4 linked regions of the Oryzias latipes genome follow. The main gene of each other region encodes a partner of the protein of the gene in region 3 in a complex. Links are inferred from orthologs where the notes say so. Each region holds a gene or a part of one and is shown on either strand. Other genes may lie near its edges. The genes, in order: gar1, wrap53, tert and nhp2.

The links.
Region 1: tert (region 3) and gar1 share a complex: the UniProt entries of both Homo sapiens proteins name them as parts of the telomerase holoenzyme complex. The link is inferred for Oryzias latipes from reciprocal best matches to the Homo sapiens genes TERT and GAR1.
Region 2: tert (region 3) and wrap53 share a complex: the UniProt entries of both Homo sapiens proteins name them as parts of the telomerase holoenzyme complex. The link is inferred for Oryzias latipes from reciprocal best matches to the Homo sapiens genes TERT and WRAP53.
Region 4: tert (region 3) and nhp2 share a complex: the UniProt entries of both Homo sapiens proteins name them as parts of the telomerase holoenzyme complex. The link is inferred for Oryzias latipes from reciprocal best matches to the Homo sapiens genes TERT and NHP2.

What each region holds. Positions count from the first base shown.
Region 1 is NC_019868.2:3,863,697-3,867,877, forward strand, and holds the start of gar1 (H/ACA ribonucleoprotein complex subunit 1), read right to left. Parts: upstream 2,858-4,181; 5' UTR 2,770-2,857; intron 2,651-2,769; exon of another isoform or gene 2,634-2,650; intron 1-2,633. UniProt on the Homo sapiens protein: Required for ribosome biogenesis and telomere maintenance. Part of the H/ACA small nucleolar ribonucleoprotein (H/ACA snoRNP) complex, which catalyzes pseudouridylation of rRNA.
Region 2 is NC_019876.2:6,280,715-6,284,279, reverse strand, and holds part of wrap53 (telomerase Cajal body protein 1), read right to left. Parts: intron 1,688-3,565; coding exon 1,476-1,687; intron 68-1,475; coding exon 1-67. UniProt on the Homo sapiens protein: RNA chaperone that plays a key role in telomere maintenance and RNA localization to Cajal bodies. Specifically recognizes and binds the Cajal body box (CAB box) present in both small Cajal body RNAs (scaRNAs) and telomerase RNA template component (TERC).
Region 3 is NC_019869.2:25,694,993-25,698,557, reverse strand, and holds part of tert (telomerase reverse transcriptase), read left to right. Parts: intron 1-807; coding exon 808-932; intron 933-1,416; coding exon 1,417-1,554; intron 1,555-2,895; coding exon 2,896-2,999; 3' UTR 3,000-3,007; exon of another isoform or gene 3,008-3,565. UniProt on the Homo sapiens protein: Telomerase is a ribonucleoprotein enzyme essential for the replication of chromosome termini in most eukaryotes. Active in progenitor and cancer cells. Inactive, or very low activity, in normal somatic cells.
Region 4 is NC_019872.2:3,233,527-3,237,763, forward strand, and holds the start of nhp2 (H/ACA ribonucleoprotein complex subunit 2), read right to left. Parts: upstream 2,810-4,237; 5' UTR 2,706-2,809; coding exon 2,552-2,705; intron 2,457-2,551; coding exon 2,387-2,456; intron 1,213-2,386; coding exon 1,107-1,212; intron 1-1,106. UniProt on the Homo sapiens protein: Required for ribosome biogenesis and telomere maintenance. Part of the H/ACA small nucleolar ribonucleoprotein (H/ACA snoRNP) complex, which catalyzes pseudouridylation of rRNA.

The sequences.
Region 1 (4,181 bases), on a different chromosome or scaffold from region 3:
AATTAGGGGACATCGCCCAACCCTATGTCTGACTGAGCACAGCTCGGATCGTCAGCACACACAGCGGTTTGAGCTTCAAAGCAGAAATGTCGCTCAGTCCTTAGAAAACATTCAAACAATCACGCGGATTTGTGTTTCCAGTCGTGTCCCGACTAAATAAAGGCTGATGTTATTCTTACATGTTTACGTGCAGCCAGCAAGCAGCACCACCCAAAGCTAATGTTGTTAGCCCGTGTTAGCATACTGCTAATCCTGGCTTCGTTCAGAAAAAGCACTGACCACACGGATTAAAATTCAAATGATGAGCGAACAGGTGTTTCATAATAACCGTAACATTATTAAAGGCACGTTTAGAAGATTGGCTCGTAAATTACTGAGCTGACATGTCAATGTATAAAGCCGCTCGGCGCTGTTTAACATTGTTTTGTATTGAATTGTTACATTCAATAAAGTTTGGAAAAAAAAGCCGCTCGGCGGAAGTTGTATCCCCTTCCGGTTTTCAAACTGCGCATGTGCGAATGATTTATTCCGACCGAAAGTGTGACCTTAGTGAACGTTTTTATATTCTGAAAACATTTTTCTGGGCCCATCTACACGGTTGGATTCTAATCCGACCATTGATCCCATCAAGATATTTTGTACATGTAACCGCGGCTTATGGTGTCGACGCGCAACGTGGCGGGGGCGTGGCATCACGATGGTGGTCTCTCCATCGGGATGTCAGTCACCCATCACGATGGACGATGATATCGTCCATCGGCACAACCCTACCCCTAAGTGAGTTACAGCTGCTCATTTCTCTGTAGAAGTCTATGGAAATTTGGCTTCTTGGAGACAGCGGGAACTTCCTGTTTGGAACTCTACGGGAGAGGAGTCACTCAGTCCAGTTCTCATATACAGTCAACTGTCTAAACAGAGGGAATTGTAAGGAACTGGGTTGAAAAATATGAAGGGTGTCAGTTGGTCTGGACTGAGTCTGCTTAGTTTGGTCCAGATTGAGTCCTGAGCGTTGCATTGGGTCTGTAGTCAGACTGCCTTCAACCGGACATTTCTGTTTCCAACCAACCAAAGCTTGTAAAAAAAAAAACGTGTGACTAAAGATCTCTTCAGTCATTGGCCAGGAATTACGAGGGCAGTCAAAGACTAGTGCACTTTGCAATCCCATTGGTCCAGTGGAGGCTGGCTGTAGGGCGGCTAACGGCAAGAGTCACTGATAAGACTTTATGACATGCAGATGGTCGGGAAAACAGTGAGAAGCAACGTGCGTCACATTAAAAGTTGTTTTAATGAGCCTGCATTTATCCAATCACATTTCAATGAGTTGCTGTGTCTCATCGTCATGGTTACTTCCTTTTCCGTTTACATCCCATACGGAGCGGCTACGGTGGCCATTTTTGGTTCCGTTGTTCCACTCTGGGAACAGACTGTATTCAGACTGAAGAACCTTAGAGTACACCAAAGCTCAGTCCGATTGGAAACGAACTGAGAGACCACCTCCACAGATGGAACCAAGCGGTTCCTGGTCCCGCACCAGGGCCCACTTGGGTTTATTCAGACTGAAAATTTGTTCCAGATTGTCGGGGGAAACGAACTTCTGGTTCACTTTAAGAGAACCAACTGTGTGGAGTCTGAATCCACCCATAGACTGATACTATGGGGTAAGGAATGTGTCAAAAAGAAACGCATTTATGAAGACAAAGTTGTGCGGCTGGTTAGAATCTGGACCAATCAGCAGGCTGTTTGTTGGCACATATGTCACGCTAAACTGAGACTTATGAACGTTAAATCAAAGATAGGGAAACAGCGAAATGAGACGTGTTAAAACGCAAAATTTTTTTTTGAAAGCAGAAAAAAATTTAAGAACTATTTAAGCAACTATTTAATACCTTCACTTGCTACTTAAAAAGTTTTGTTTGCAATGTGTTGGCATAAATATCACTTCATTCTCAAAAAATACGGCAGGACATCGCCATTATAATCTGTTTTTTTTAAACAAAACTATGATAAAGATAATTTCCCTTCTAGAAGATCAATAACATTTCAGAAAGTTTAATTCTGTTTTTAGTTTAATAAACGAGGCTCAACGCGCATGCTCACTCAGTTGAATTGAATATCGGGACTCTGTGTATATGCCAATGACCACATGGCGTATATTTGATACTTTTTTAAAGAAAAAAACAACAACACAATGAACAAAGAAAACACCAAAAGCTGAACTGACAAACGCACCAAAACCATGAGCTCCCATGATGCACCTCGCCCGCTGATTGCTATGGCAGTGGGCGGAAACCGAGTCGTTACAGTAAGAATGCAAACAAATGTTTTACTCCTTACAGTCTTACAAAATAGAGCACACAGATAGCCGCCCGCCGCTTTACAACCGCGGAGTGATCCCGTCAACGAATCCAGTCTTCAGCCGCGTGCGACCGTCCCGTCCCGTGTCCGCTGTGCAAATAGTGCGAGTGTTTAGCTGGCAAACACAGCGACACGACAGGTTGCAGTAACCAGAAACACGCGTGGAACCGTGTCCGGAACTTTAACGCGCCCTGAGGCTCCCCCGGTGCCTCACGCGCTAAAAAAACCGGCTTCGGTGAAAGGATCAGCGAGAGCACGTGCTTCCCGGAGCAGCTCACCGTAAACACGACCGTTTAGGCGCGAAACCACCGCTTTCCAGTGGGTTCTTTACACACCCCGCTCATCTGCTGATAAATAATATGACACGTGGAAAACTATTACCCAAGAAAATAAGATGTAAAGGCAAGAACTTACCTGTTATCGCAGAGGAAATGTCCACGTGACAACACGCGCAAGCGCAGGCTGCCGTAAAGGTTGTCTCTGATGTCGCACAGGAGGTTGCCAGATCAGATCATTTCCCGACAAAACTACGCAGTAAAATCAGTAAAGGCAAACACAACCCGGACTAAACTTCCCCCCACATAAAAAAGCTAAACTAAGACTTTTTAATGGTAATTTACAAAATCAAGATAGATTTATTTTATAAAAATATATAAATCAATAAACTATTAGTTGTCGTCTCCTTTTGAGTGATTTGTTGTTTTTATCAGTCTCTTTTTAATCTTTTGCATTTTCTGTGTGTATTTTCTACACAATTGTTCGTGCGGTTCCTAGTAACTTGAGCTGTATTCATAACTTTTTTTGTGGTATTTGCATCATTTGTTATTTAAAAACACTTAAAAAATTATATTAACAAGAAACTTAGCAAATGCAATAGGAAACCTCTGCTGCTGAGTTACACTACGATTTTCCTCTGACTGCACAACCATGACCAGAAATCCAACTTGCATCTGGATCAGACTTCAGCATGTCATTTTCAGGTGTTTGACTGCTTTAAGGTCTGTCACTGCTTCTTTTCATTTGTGAAGTAGGACTAAACTCAGTTTAATCTTTAAAGTAGAATAATATTGGTTATATTGTGTGGGCTATGTGTGAAAACAAAGATTTCAAACTTGTATATCAGTAATTTTTTTCACAATAAGCCTCACAATAGCTAAAGACTGAAATCAACCCCATGTTCCTTTTGACCTTTAGTTGACTGTAAATGTAAATCAGCACAATAATTTGTGGTTATTTTTTTTTACCTTATTCCATAATTTTACACCTCCAGTTCAATATGTTCAATTTTTTTTTGTTTTAGGTGTTAATTGTTTCTGTAATATTGATAGTTATTTGGATGAATACTTTTTTATGTGTGAATAATATTTTAAAGTAATTCTAAAGTAATTTACTACAGCTCTTTCTAGTGACATCTGGTTAACCAACAAAACTCTTTAAGCATAATTTCTAGAAAAACATTTTTTTAAATTTAAAACAAAACATCAGTTTTGAGAAAAACAGCCTGAATTTGTTCATTTTGCCAACTGCAGATGTGTCCAGCCCAAAGAGTTCCAAAGAAGCGGAAACATGACCGATCTGGCAACCCTTGTCTTCTTTGTGTCATAAGCCGACCTGCCCCGTCCTTAAAGAGACAGACCACTCTGACTTCATCAAAAGTTTCGCCAGACAGACGCTGCTCCAATAGTGGAGATGTTTAAGTGTTTGTTGGCTTTTTAAAATTCTGCTGCGCGGGTAACTATGGCAACAGCTGGTCAGGGAGGAATGCTTTTGTTTTCCGAGAGTGTGTGTGTGAGAGAGAGAGAGGAAAGAGTGTGTGATTGTGTTTG
Region 2 (3,565 bases), on a different chromosome or scaffold from region 3:
CGTTCCTCTTCAGAGAGAACACCACCTTCCCGGGCTCCCTCAGATCCCAGCAGAGGATCTCTGGATCCTGGTGGCACAAGGACGCAGAATCCAATCACAGCTTTAGTACGTTTGTTCTTAAGTGTTAGGGCCACACACACACAAAAAAAAGAAGCAAAATTACGAGATTTAAAGTCTTAAATTTACAGGAAAGAAAACTTGTAAAATTGAGATTTAAAGTTGTAAATTTGTAAGTAAAAAAAAAAAAATCGTAAAATTACGAGATTCAAAGACATAGATTTAAAAGAAAACACTAGTAAATTAGGAGATTTAAAGTAGTAAAATTACGAGAGAAAAAACGTGAATTTCTGAGATTTAAAGTCTTAAATTTACGGGGGGAAAAAACTCGTAAAATTATGAGATTCTAAGTCGTAAATTTGCAAATAAAATAAAAAAATCGTGAAATTACGAGATTTAAAGTCGTAGATTTAAAAGAAAACATTAACAAAATCACGAGATATAAAAGTAGTAAATTTACGAGAATTTTTTTTTTTTAGAAATTTCCGAAATTTAAGGTCTTAAATTTACGGGAAAAGAACTCATAAAATTACGAGATTCAAAGTAGTAAATTTAAGAGAAAAAACATGTTAAATTTACGAGATTCAATGTGTTAAATTTACGGAAAAAAATATATGACTTTTTTCATGTAAATTTATGAAATTAAAATTGAGCATGTTTCAATTGTATGCTCGAATTGAGCATACAGAGCAGCAGCAGAGCGGACAGACTCAACCGACACAACAGGTGAGCTGAATGTTCATTGATAACATTACAATTTTTTTTGATTTACAATTTATCAATGTTTTATTCATTGATGGGTGTCCCTGCAGGCAGATGTCCACTTCAATCCGTTCTACTTCCATAAAAACCAACACCTCTAAGTCTTTGTGACACTTCCGTCTGAGGAGGAGGAACACTTTCTGGCATTTTCAACGTTGTAATGCTAATAGAACAACACATTGGTGTTCTGATGACAGATTCATGAGGTAATGAGACAAATGCACTTCAGGGTGTGTGAATGGAAGAGAAAATAAAGTATTGGTCCTCTACACCCAAACGTGTCTCTTGAGTTCCTTATTTTACACATGAAACTCCGACACTGAACCTCGGAAAGGCGACTACACTGACAATAATCTCATTCTGAGTCGCCAAGAGGTTCAGAATATCTGTGTTTTTGAAACCTATCCAGAAATAAAACCTCACAGAACGCTCCACATATTTCATCTTCCAGCAAGGCTCCAATAAACAGGCACCTTTGAGGTTTTTTCTTGTTTAACTTTTGACTTTTTTCTTGTTAATTTACGCGTTTTAAAGTCGTAAATGTACAGCTCAGCTGAACAGGTGAGCTACAGCCAATAAGACACACACGCCTCCTCTGACTCTCCAGCTCCACAAACACCACAAAGGAAACCAGGGAGAAGCGTGAAAATGTTGACCTTGCGCCCCCCGGTGTACAGGTAGTTGCCGTCGGGGGAGAAGAGCAGGTGGGTGATGCCTCCGTGGTGCAGCGTGGGCAGCAGAGCCAGCAGGGCGCCGTCCTGACAGGAGTACAGGCCGGCGCAGCGCGAGTACGAGCCGCAGGCGTAGACCGACTGGCACGGACTGAAGGCGAAGCAGGAAATGATGCCGTTCTGGCCCCGCCTCTTCACTGCAGCGAGGACAGATCATTAAAAAATAAAATAAAACTTTTTGTCACAAATAGGCTAAAGTTATTTTTCTGCAGACGGAAAAATCTGCAGACGGACGACCAGACGTCGGCTCCGAGAAGCTTTGGTGGCCTCGTCATGAAGCTCCGGTTCCAGCAGTAGGCGCTGTTGGACGGAGAACTTTGGCTTTTCCTGCAGTTTCGCTGTTTTGATCGAATCTCTTCAATTTCTGGGTTGAAAAATGACGAACCGCCTCCTTGAATGCATTTTTTGTTCCTGCTGATTCTTCAGATCAGAGATTCTTTAAATTCAACACGTTGTGGTTTTTTTAACCACAAAAAAAAACCAGGCAGAAGCTATGGTTTCTCATGAATCTGGCATAAAACCTGCAGCAAATCCAGTTATTTCTTCAAACCTGGATCCTCTCGATTCAGCGGACGGATCTTTGCAGAATTAGCAGAATCCCGTCCAGCTTTATTTACTGTCATTAAACCTTCAGTTTCAGCCAAATTCTGCACTGAATTCTACAAAATTGTACTATTCTGCAAGTCAAATTGCTGCTCCACTTTAATGGGTTTGAATTTACCGTATCATTATTTATTTAGTTATTTTTTAATCACTTTTGTCTCAAGCCGATTTTTTCAGGGAACTTCAATGATTTTTTTTTCCTGTTCCCTACGATGAAGCGTCAGAAATCTGCACATTGGTAGAAATTTTCTGATGAAGGTCTTCATCAGGTGTTGATGGAATAAAAACAGATGTTTGCTATAAATCTCACCGCATCAAAGTCATACTTCGATCTATTGTGAAAAGGGTTCCCTGTGTTTTTTTTTTAAATTACAATTTGAACGTTTCTTGGCCTGAAACCGGCGTTGTGTTCTAGGACATAGTTTCTGCAGAGCGGCTGAAGTTCACTAGAAATTCACGCAGTCCTTATTCACGACAATTTCAATAAAGAAACGCTCAGAAATGCAGAATTTGAGCTCAGATTTCTTTACTTGAGAAAAATGCGACAAGATGGTAAAAATTAAGCCTGCACAATAAATCTAACGTTATCGCGACATCAAGATGTGCAAAACTCGGTGAAAATTGCGATAAATGCTAACCTAATGCGTTGAATGCTATAAGGTATTCAACCCCTTGTTTTCCTGTATCTCTCTCTTTATTATAGTGCCTTAACTCCTCCTCCAATGCCACAGCTGGGTCTCAAACCTGCGAGCTTCTGCACCAAAAATTCCCCATTTATTTCAATGGAGGCAGAAATCCTGGAATATCTTGAAAGGTTCAGGGATTCAGCGGTTCGCGCTCTTTCCTCACAGCAAGACACCACCCCGGTTCAAGTCCCGGCTGGGGGACCTGAACCAGAACATCAACGGGGGGCCTTTCTGTGTGGAGTTTGCATGTTCTCCCCGTGCATGGGTGGGTTTTCTCAGACATACTCGTCTACATAGGAGGCGGACATCTAACATCAAAGGGCTCCATCCGATTGGTCAAACGCATGAAGGGATTTATTTGATGCGTTAAATACTTTAAGTTGCCATGAGATTGTTTTAGCACATTTAAGGTAGCCATTTAACGCAATTTTCGCAGACTTTTGCGATGTGCGCTTCCTCCGCTGGTCGGTGAAGGCTTGGCGGCTGTTGCCATGACAACGCGTCTTCTTCTAAATGTCCGCTAACACTGACTAACTTTGCACGTGAGCACGGTACGAGCGGGATGGCGTTAGGGTCGGGCGATGTCCCCTAAATTGGCCGTTGACGATGATTGCTGTCAACCATCGGGATGGACGATGACATCGTCGGGGGGGGGGGCTGTTTTTTACATTTTTCGTTCTTGTATAACTGCTATTCGTTATTTTATTTTTTTTATTTTATTTCCCA
Region 3 (3,565 bases):
TTAATGTAAGACACCTGTGACCAGAAGAAGTGATGAGGACACCTGATCATTTGGATGGATGAGCCAATACTTTTGGTAAAATAGTGTATATAGAGTAGATTAAGCTCAAAATTGCACTTGTCAGTATTTCTTTATTCAAATCATTGTGAATAAGGAGCAGATGAAAAATGCCTTTGAAACAGCTTCTAGTTGTAACAAAATAAGTTCTAGTAATCTACAATCGGTGGTCCAAAGTCTTCCTTCTCCATTCTGATCGTCCACCATCAGACAAACGGATCCATGAACGTCTTTGTTTTCCTGGTCTGAGCTGGTATCTGGATCAGAATTGAATGGCTGGATAGCTACGATGTTGATCACCATTTTTGTTTCACAGTAATGTTAGGTTGGAATTTTGATGTGCTGGAAGGTAGCAGTGTGAAAACAGAGAGCTCTCAGCAGCAGGGAGGGGAGGGGAGGGGAAGGGAGGGTGTGGTTGCTTTATGCCAACGGTCCCGTCCACAAATCAGAGGTGAATTTCTACTGAATTCCTGCTGCTCTGCAGAAACTATGTCCTAGAAAACAACAGAAATGTTTGATTTTGGCTAAAAGTGGCGTCATCCTAACTAAAAGACCACTGGGAACGCTCTGAAAATAGATGGGATCGGACTTTAAAACTGTTTATGTCTCTCTTTTGCTCATTTAAAGACTTTTTCAAAGTCCAATCCTTTGTTCAAATAAAGTCTTTTGGTGTTTAGCGTCTCAGAACATGCAGGTGTTTCAGCCTTTGGTCTGCAGACCTGCAGCCTCCTCTGTGTCCGCTCTGTCCAGGTTCCATGTCTGTGTTCAGAGTTTACCCTTCGCCCAGACGGTCGCAAAGAACCCAACGTACTTCCAGCAGATGATCTGGGACATGGCGCACTATGCCAACGCTCTCATCAGGCGCAGCAACACAGGTACTTTACTTTATTCTCTTTTCCAGCTCAAAGAAACGGTCTGTTAGTCATTTTAATGGTTGGTTTGTTAGAATAATAAAACAAGAAACAGCAAATCTAGAAAAACCCATGCAGAGCGGAGGAAGATGAGTGAATCCAGGTGAGTTTCTCATCTCAGGCTCACTTGAACTCAAGCAGTCAGTCAGATTCCAGACTCTCCACCATGACTATGATCACAGGGAGGTTCAGAAAAGCCTGGAACAAACCACCAAACCTTTGGTTTGAAGAACCAAGAAGAAGCCGTTAAGATCCTTAGATCTCCTGGTGCTTCGACAATAAGTGTGACTGCAAACCAGAACGTCAGTGTTGCATCACAGCTTCACCTATTAAGATGTGGATCAGTTTAGTGTTTTTGTCTTTTATGGCTCAGAGAAACCCCGAACAGAAGGTTGGAGCCCTGTCTCCTCTGCCAGGTTGTGTGCTCAGCTTCCCCTCTCTCCTCCAGGGTTGGTTTTGGGGGATGGAGCTCAGAAGGGCAGCGTTCAGTACGAGGCCGTGGAGCTGCTCTTCTGTCTGGCCTTCCTGCGGGTTCTGTCTAAACACCGACCCGTCTACAAAGACCTGCTGCCACGCCTGCACAAATGTGGGTGTTCCACCAAGCACTAAGTATAAAAATGAAAGTCACTCAACACCTGAACGAAATATTCTAAGACTTTTAACACTTCAAATCATCAGCTGAATATGCAGAAGACAAAACTTGGCAGCGTTTTGAGAATTTTAGCAGATCATTTTGACCTTTCAAAGGTTTGATCAGCCAAAGGCTTTCACTGCTCTTGAACCGTTTTTCTGATGATGGAGGACATATGTTAAGAAGATGAAGGTCAAAAATGTAGTTCTGAGTATTTCTTTATTCAGATTGCATTAAACCAGGAGCAGATAAAAAATGTCGTTTAAAAAAGACCATATTTGTGAAGAAGAAAATACGCTGGGCAGCCTCAAGCTTCCTGCTCTGCTCCATTCTGATCATCCTCTGTCAGACCAACAGATCCATGTTTGTCTTTGTTTTCCTGGTCTGAGCTGATCTGGATCTAAACTGTACGACTGGATAGATCTGATACTGCTTAACACGTTTGGTGCCCTGCTAATGTTAGGTTGGGGGTGAGAGAGGCTGTAAGCCAGCAGGTGAGCGTGTAAACAAAGAGCTCTCAGCAATGGGAGAGGAAGGGGGTGGGCTTGCTCTGTGCACAACTCAGAGGTGGGTGAATTTCTAAAGAACTGCTGCTGCTCTGCAGAAACTATGTCCTAGAAAATGACTCGGCTTTTAAAAAATTTTGTCCAAAAATGACAATCACGATTTAAAGACCACTGGGAACGCTTTAACAATAGATGAAGAGACGATTAGAGGGGATCTTTGAGTTCTTTATTCAATCCCGTGTTTGAATTCAGGAGGATTCTTTTAGAACATTTCTTTTCTCTGAATGTGGGTTTAGAAGCTTTGGCACTATTGATGAATATCATGACAAAGCTGCTCGCTGAGAATGGATCAGGACTCTGTTTACTGAACTTGTTTCTTCATAAAACATCTGTCCTCAGGAGACAGAGAGGTTTGCTGAGCTGATGGAGAATCTGAAATCTCCTGGATGAGGCTGGGTTTTGCCTGAAGGTGGCATCAGCTGAGAGGCGTACAGGAATATCCGTGATGCAGTCGAGCATGAACTCTGGCGTTGGGTTTTTATGGTCAGAACTGCAGCACGGCTGTTACAGAAAGACCAAACATGAAAACACAGGAACTTTCCTGGAATACATCTTCTCTTAAAGGTGGATGCTGTGATGGCTGTATCCACGCTGGCCAATCTGAATGTTTTCAGGTGTATTTAGCAGTTTTATAACCAGCTGTTATGGGATTTTACAGCTCAGATGGGTGGATTTTACAGTTCGGAGATGAACTGTAATATCTCAATATCTGCTTTCACCCTCTGGACAGGGAAGCGCCGGTTGGAGAGGCTTCTGGGAGACCTGAGGCTGGCTAGGGTCCGGCAGGCCGCCAACCCCCGGGCTCTGCTGGACTTCCTGGCTATGCAGATGTGAGTCCACAGGTAAAAGCAGCCACAGGAACGGAAATGTGTGGGCAGTTTGACAGCATGGCTTTCACATGAGGATTTATTTTGTTAAAGTGATTAAAAGAAAAGAAAATGGAAGCAAAACGTTGTAATTTTTCTCTCAGATTGACATGATGAACATTCAAGGCTTTTGTTTAAACGAGCAAATGGAATCTTACGTGTTCTGTAAAGCACAGTAAATATGTTTTGGTCATCTCTTAAAAACCACTTAAGCGATAAAACCCGGTGATAAACCGGTGTCGTAAAACAAGCTCAAGTTGATGAATGAAAAACTTGAGAAGAATCCAGCTTCTGACATGGAGCCTGGCTCATTCCTCAGACGCCTGTATCTCTGGACTTTGATTCACTCGCTGCGGTAGTTTTCCACAAAGAAGATATGGTTAGGCTTTAAAAATAACTTGTCTGTAAATATGTGCACGGAAACGTCATCAGCCTCCAGGGATTTCTTTTACTGTCACAAGTACACAAACAAAGTGCAGCCAAGTGAAATAAAAAACCCTGATGTTTGAGGTTTAGCATTGAAACCAGCAGGAT
Region 4 (4,237 bases), on a different chromosome or scaffold from region 3:
ACCTGATGGTGACATCACACCTTTATGAGGTGAACTGTACTGCCTCCTGCAGGAGAGTCGAGGGAACAGCACCTTCTCTTGTGTCAGTGGAAGATGACAAACTCCCACCCTAACCCCTAACTACTAAAACTATTTAGTGCCCTGGATTTTAAAGAAAATTCAGACACAATGCTCAGTGCTTAATATTTTAAATGGCGAATATGACATAATTGATTTCACAAAGTTAAAATCTAATTCATATGAGCGTTTTGTCACCATTATTTATGAGTCCACTGAGTTCTGAAGATAAAAACATTGATGGTTTAATTAAAAAAATACATTTAAATACATTTTCTTTTGGCAAAAATTGTTCTGATACTATGCATTGTGGTCTATATTCACCGACATAGTGAGCCTTGATGCACACTGGTATTTCACAGAGACTTCTGGTAAATTTCTAGGGCACTGGATTTTGTAATTGTAGATTCAGACAGCTCTACAAAAAGGTGGACGCATTATGCAGTGAGTAGTGAAGGAATTCTGACACACCCCAGCAGCAGCAAAGTTAGAAACAGCTGAGAATGTTAAGTACCTGTAACTTGCAATAGAGGCACTTTATATCCATTTTAAACAGTTTAGGCCATATTCTGTAAAATTGTGCTTTTTACATTCAAGCGCTTTGTTTTTGAGAACTCCACCCACCAAAGACATCTCCATACCAGAATGCTGCTACTGTAACCCAAATATACTTCACTGGATGTAAGGAATTTCTAGTTTAGTGTATAAATATATTGGAAGCTATTTATATTTATTTGATTTTTGGTTGTGAGTGGAGATCATCTCAGTATTTACTTCCAGAACTTTCTTTCACAGAATGTATGTCCACCTTTAATGTTCTGGTCTCGTTTGAAAAAATGTGTTTCTCTGAAGAAAGCAAATAAAATTTGAAATATTTCCTCACTTTTACACAACGTACCAGAGGTTTAGTTATAACTTTACTGCTGTCGGTGGTGGTTCACCTTTCAGCAGATCCCTTCATGGATCGCCTCTGCAAATCCACTTTCATTACTGCTATTTTTGAAGTCCTCAAAGAGAGGAACACCTGCATAGGTGCGCTGCTGACTCACCACTTTGGAGGGGATGTAGGCGTACGGCAGGCTCCTGTCCTCACACATGACCGGTAGGTGGCAGTACACCTCGATGGGCAGAGTGTCGCCAGCTAAAACCACGATCCTGTAGAGCAACGACCAATCAGAAAACCAGCTTGCAAGCAATGAAGTCACTTCTGGTCACGCCCCCTCAGACTAAACACAAAAGACTGAGTCACACGGGTGACTGCGCATGTGCGGGGTCAAAGGTCGAGACCTCAATGGACAGCAGACAAGGTGACCGCTAAGCCAAAACGCAGCCATTACGATACATAACCAAAGACAAAGTACAGGTCCATCGGCAGATGCAGTTTGCCGTTGGTGGGTCAGCTAATGAAAAAATAGCAACAAAAAAACCAAAGCAGCAAATACTAGTAAGAACAGACCGTTCAGTGACATGAGTGAGCAATATTGACATTTCTGTCAGCCATGTTTTAGTTGCTTCCTCACCAACCCAAGAGCCTTTTCAATCACAAGAGGATCGGGTTATTGTTTTCTGTCAATGCAGAGAAGTGGCATTCTGATCTGTCAAAGAAACAGAAGAATGTCGTACGCCTTTAGATAGTCCATATGGAATATTTAAGCCTTCTACTAGTATTATAGATCTGGAATGTTTGAGTACTGCATCATGTGGGCCTAATGTTGAACCAGACAACTGTTATCCAGTCCTCAAGTTGTATCATGTCCAATGCTTCGCATGCATACGTCCTTTTTATCATCGTCTGCTGTGGGGATGAGGCCTCTGCAGCACACCTGTGTCGCAGCACACCTGTGTCGCAGCACACCTGTGTCGCAGCACACCTGTGTCGCAGCACACCTGTGTCGCAGCACATCTGGTGCATCGTCGGGCGCCTTTAGTTCGTTAACTGACCGGGCAGATGGTCCTGTTATTTTAACTTTGAATATGTTTCATCATGGCTAGGGTTAGAGACCATCACCAAGTTTGTCGTCCAATGAGGCCTTGACCTTTGACCCCGCGCATGCGCAGTCATATTTGTGAACTGGCCAACATCACTGAGTCGCTTTGACTAAACCCCAACTAAAACAGAAAAGAACTTGGTTGAAAGGTTTTGCAAAGTTTCTCATCATTAAAGTTCTAAAGAACTGTAGCTCCAGACAATAAAATGAGAAATGAAGAGCAGCACAGAGACAAACGGAAATTATCTGGATTCTAGAGAAAAACAAAGGATCCTATGAGAAGCTTCATCCACCAACATGCTTCTCCTCCTCCTGAGCAGCTCCGGCTCGTTCTAACTCACCCTTTCTCTCCCTTGTTGATGAACTTCTGCACCTCCTTCACTCCTCTGCGGATGTTCTTCACTCTGGCAGCTGAAACCACAAAAATGCTCAATACTGTCCTGGTCCAACCCGGTCCCAGTCGGACCCGGACTGATCCACAACCTGGAAACGTCCCGCACTCGTACCTTTCTTCACGCACTTGTAGAGCTTCTTGCTGAGCTTCCTGGAAGCCAGCGGCTGCGCGATCGGGTTCAGGTTCGCGATCAGTTCGTGATAGGAGCGCTCCGGGACGCCGGCGGGCTCCTCCGCATCCAATTTCTCCTTCTTCACCTTCGTCATTTCCAATCGATGATTTTCTGAGCCGAACGTCTGCTAACAACAACTTAACACGAGGACACCTCACGTGCTCAGCTTCCTCTGCTTCTTTTTTCAGACTACGGCTTATCACAGCGCCGCTAGCGGCCGGGCGGTGAAATGCAGCGTGACGTTTCAAAGTTTACATTCCAAATGACTTTAATTTGCTTCTTTCTTTCAAAAATGAAATTGTGTTTAAGTTCTTGTGGTGTTTTTCTCATGATAGTGAAAATATAAAAAGAAAATTAAGATTAAATGTGTGTTTTTGTGTGTTTCTTCTGTTATTTCTTTATTCAAATTGCTGTGAATCAGGAGTAGATGACAAACTTACAGTGTAAAAAAGCTTGTCGTTACCATTGAGAGTAAAATAAGAACTAGACTGAAAAACACCCCCCCACCCCCTCCGTGTACCAAAAAAGGAAGTACCTGCTGGTCCTAAGAAGGCAAAACCCCATAGACTTCTATTAAGAAATAAACAGCTGTTACTCTGTCATTCTATTGGTCAGAATAACCATTCTGGATCTGATAACTTTTATTAAAATCTTATTGCTAATCCTGATTTTTCTCATGGTATTTTTCCTGTAGTGAAAGTTATCTAAGTTATAAACTGACAAATCAGATGCCTTAATAAAAGTAGCGTCAGAAGTTTGAAACGTTTGATTGACAGACCCTCCCTATCCGCTCTCAGTGGAAAGGGGTGTGGCCTTCTAACAGGCTCACTCCTGATTGGAGAGAGTGGTTGCAACAGAAATGTAGACAAGCCAATCACGGCTTACTGAGGTCATCTGCTTCTCACATGGTGAAGGACATATCGCAGAAAAATGGGGACTGAATTGACTTCAGTTGGTTGCAACCAGAAGCAAGGCATTTTCTATGGATGATATCACACGCCATTTATCCAGTTGTAAATTTAACAGTCAATTGTCAAACAAACTGAAATTGATGGGCCACACGCTATGGGGTCAAATTATATGAAACCCATCAAGACGACTGTTGTTGTGAATTTGGGCTATACAAATAAAATTGAATTGAATTGAAATTAGGATCAGGTAAAAAAAAAAATAACTCAAAAGTACACATTGAAAACGCCAAAAGAAATAATGAAAATTAAAAAAACTTGACCCCTAAGTTTAAACAAGAACTTCAAACCTTAAACTGATACCAAATGAAAAATAATATTTATTTGTTTTGCATTTTCAACGTTTGTTTCCTCTGTTTCTTTCCTCCTTAGCTTTCAGTTTTCACTGAGAGTGCCTAATTTTACTTGGGGGCGGGGCTTTAAGGTCATTGGCTGCGTTTACATGGACAAAAGTAATCGGAATGAACACCTGATCAGAAGAAAAATGCGTCATGTAAACACGCCGTTCGGAATACTCTGCCCCGATCAGACTCGTTTGGATCAAAATTTCTTTCTGATCAAGATAGGTGGGTTATGCCGATTGTTGATCCGATCGTGGTGCATGTAAACGGTTCATTCTGATCATGGGTCACTACTGCTCTGGTTTAACGGCATGCAA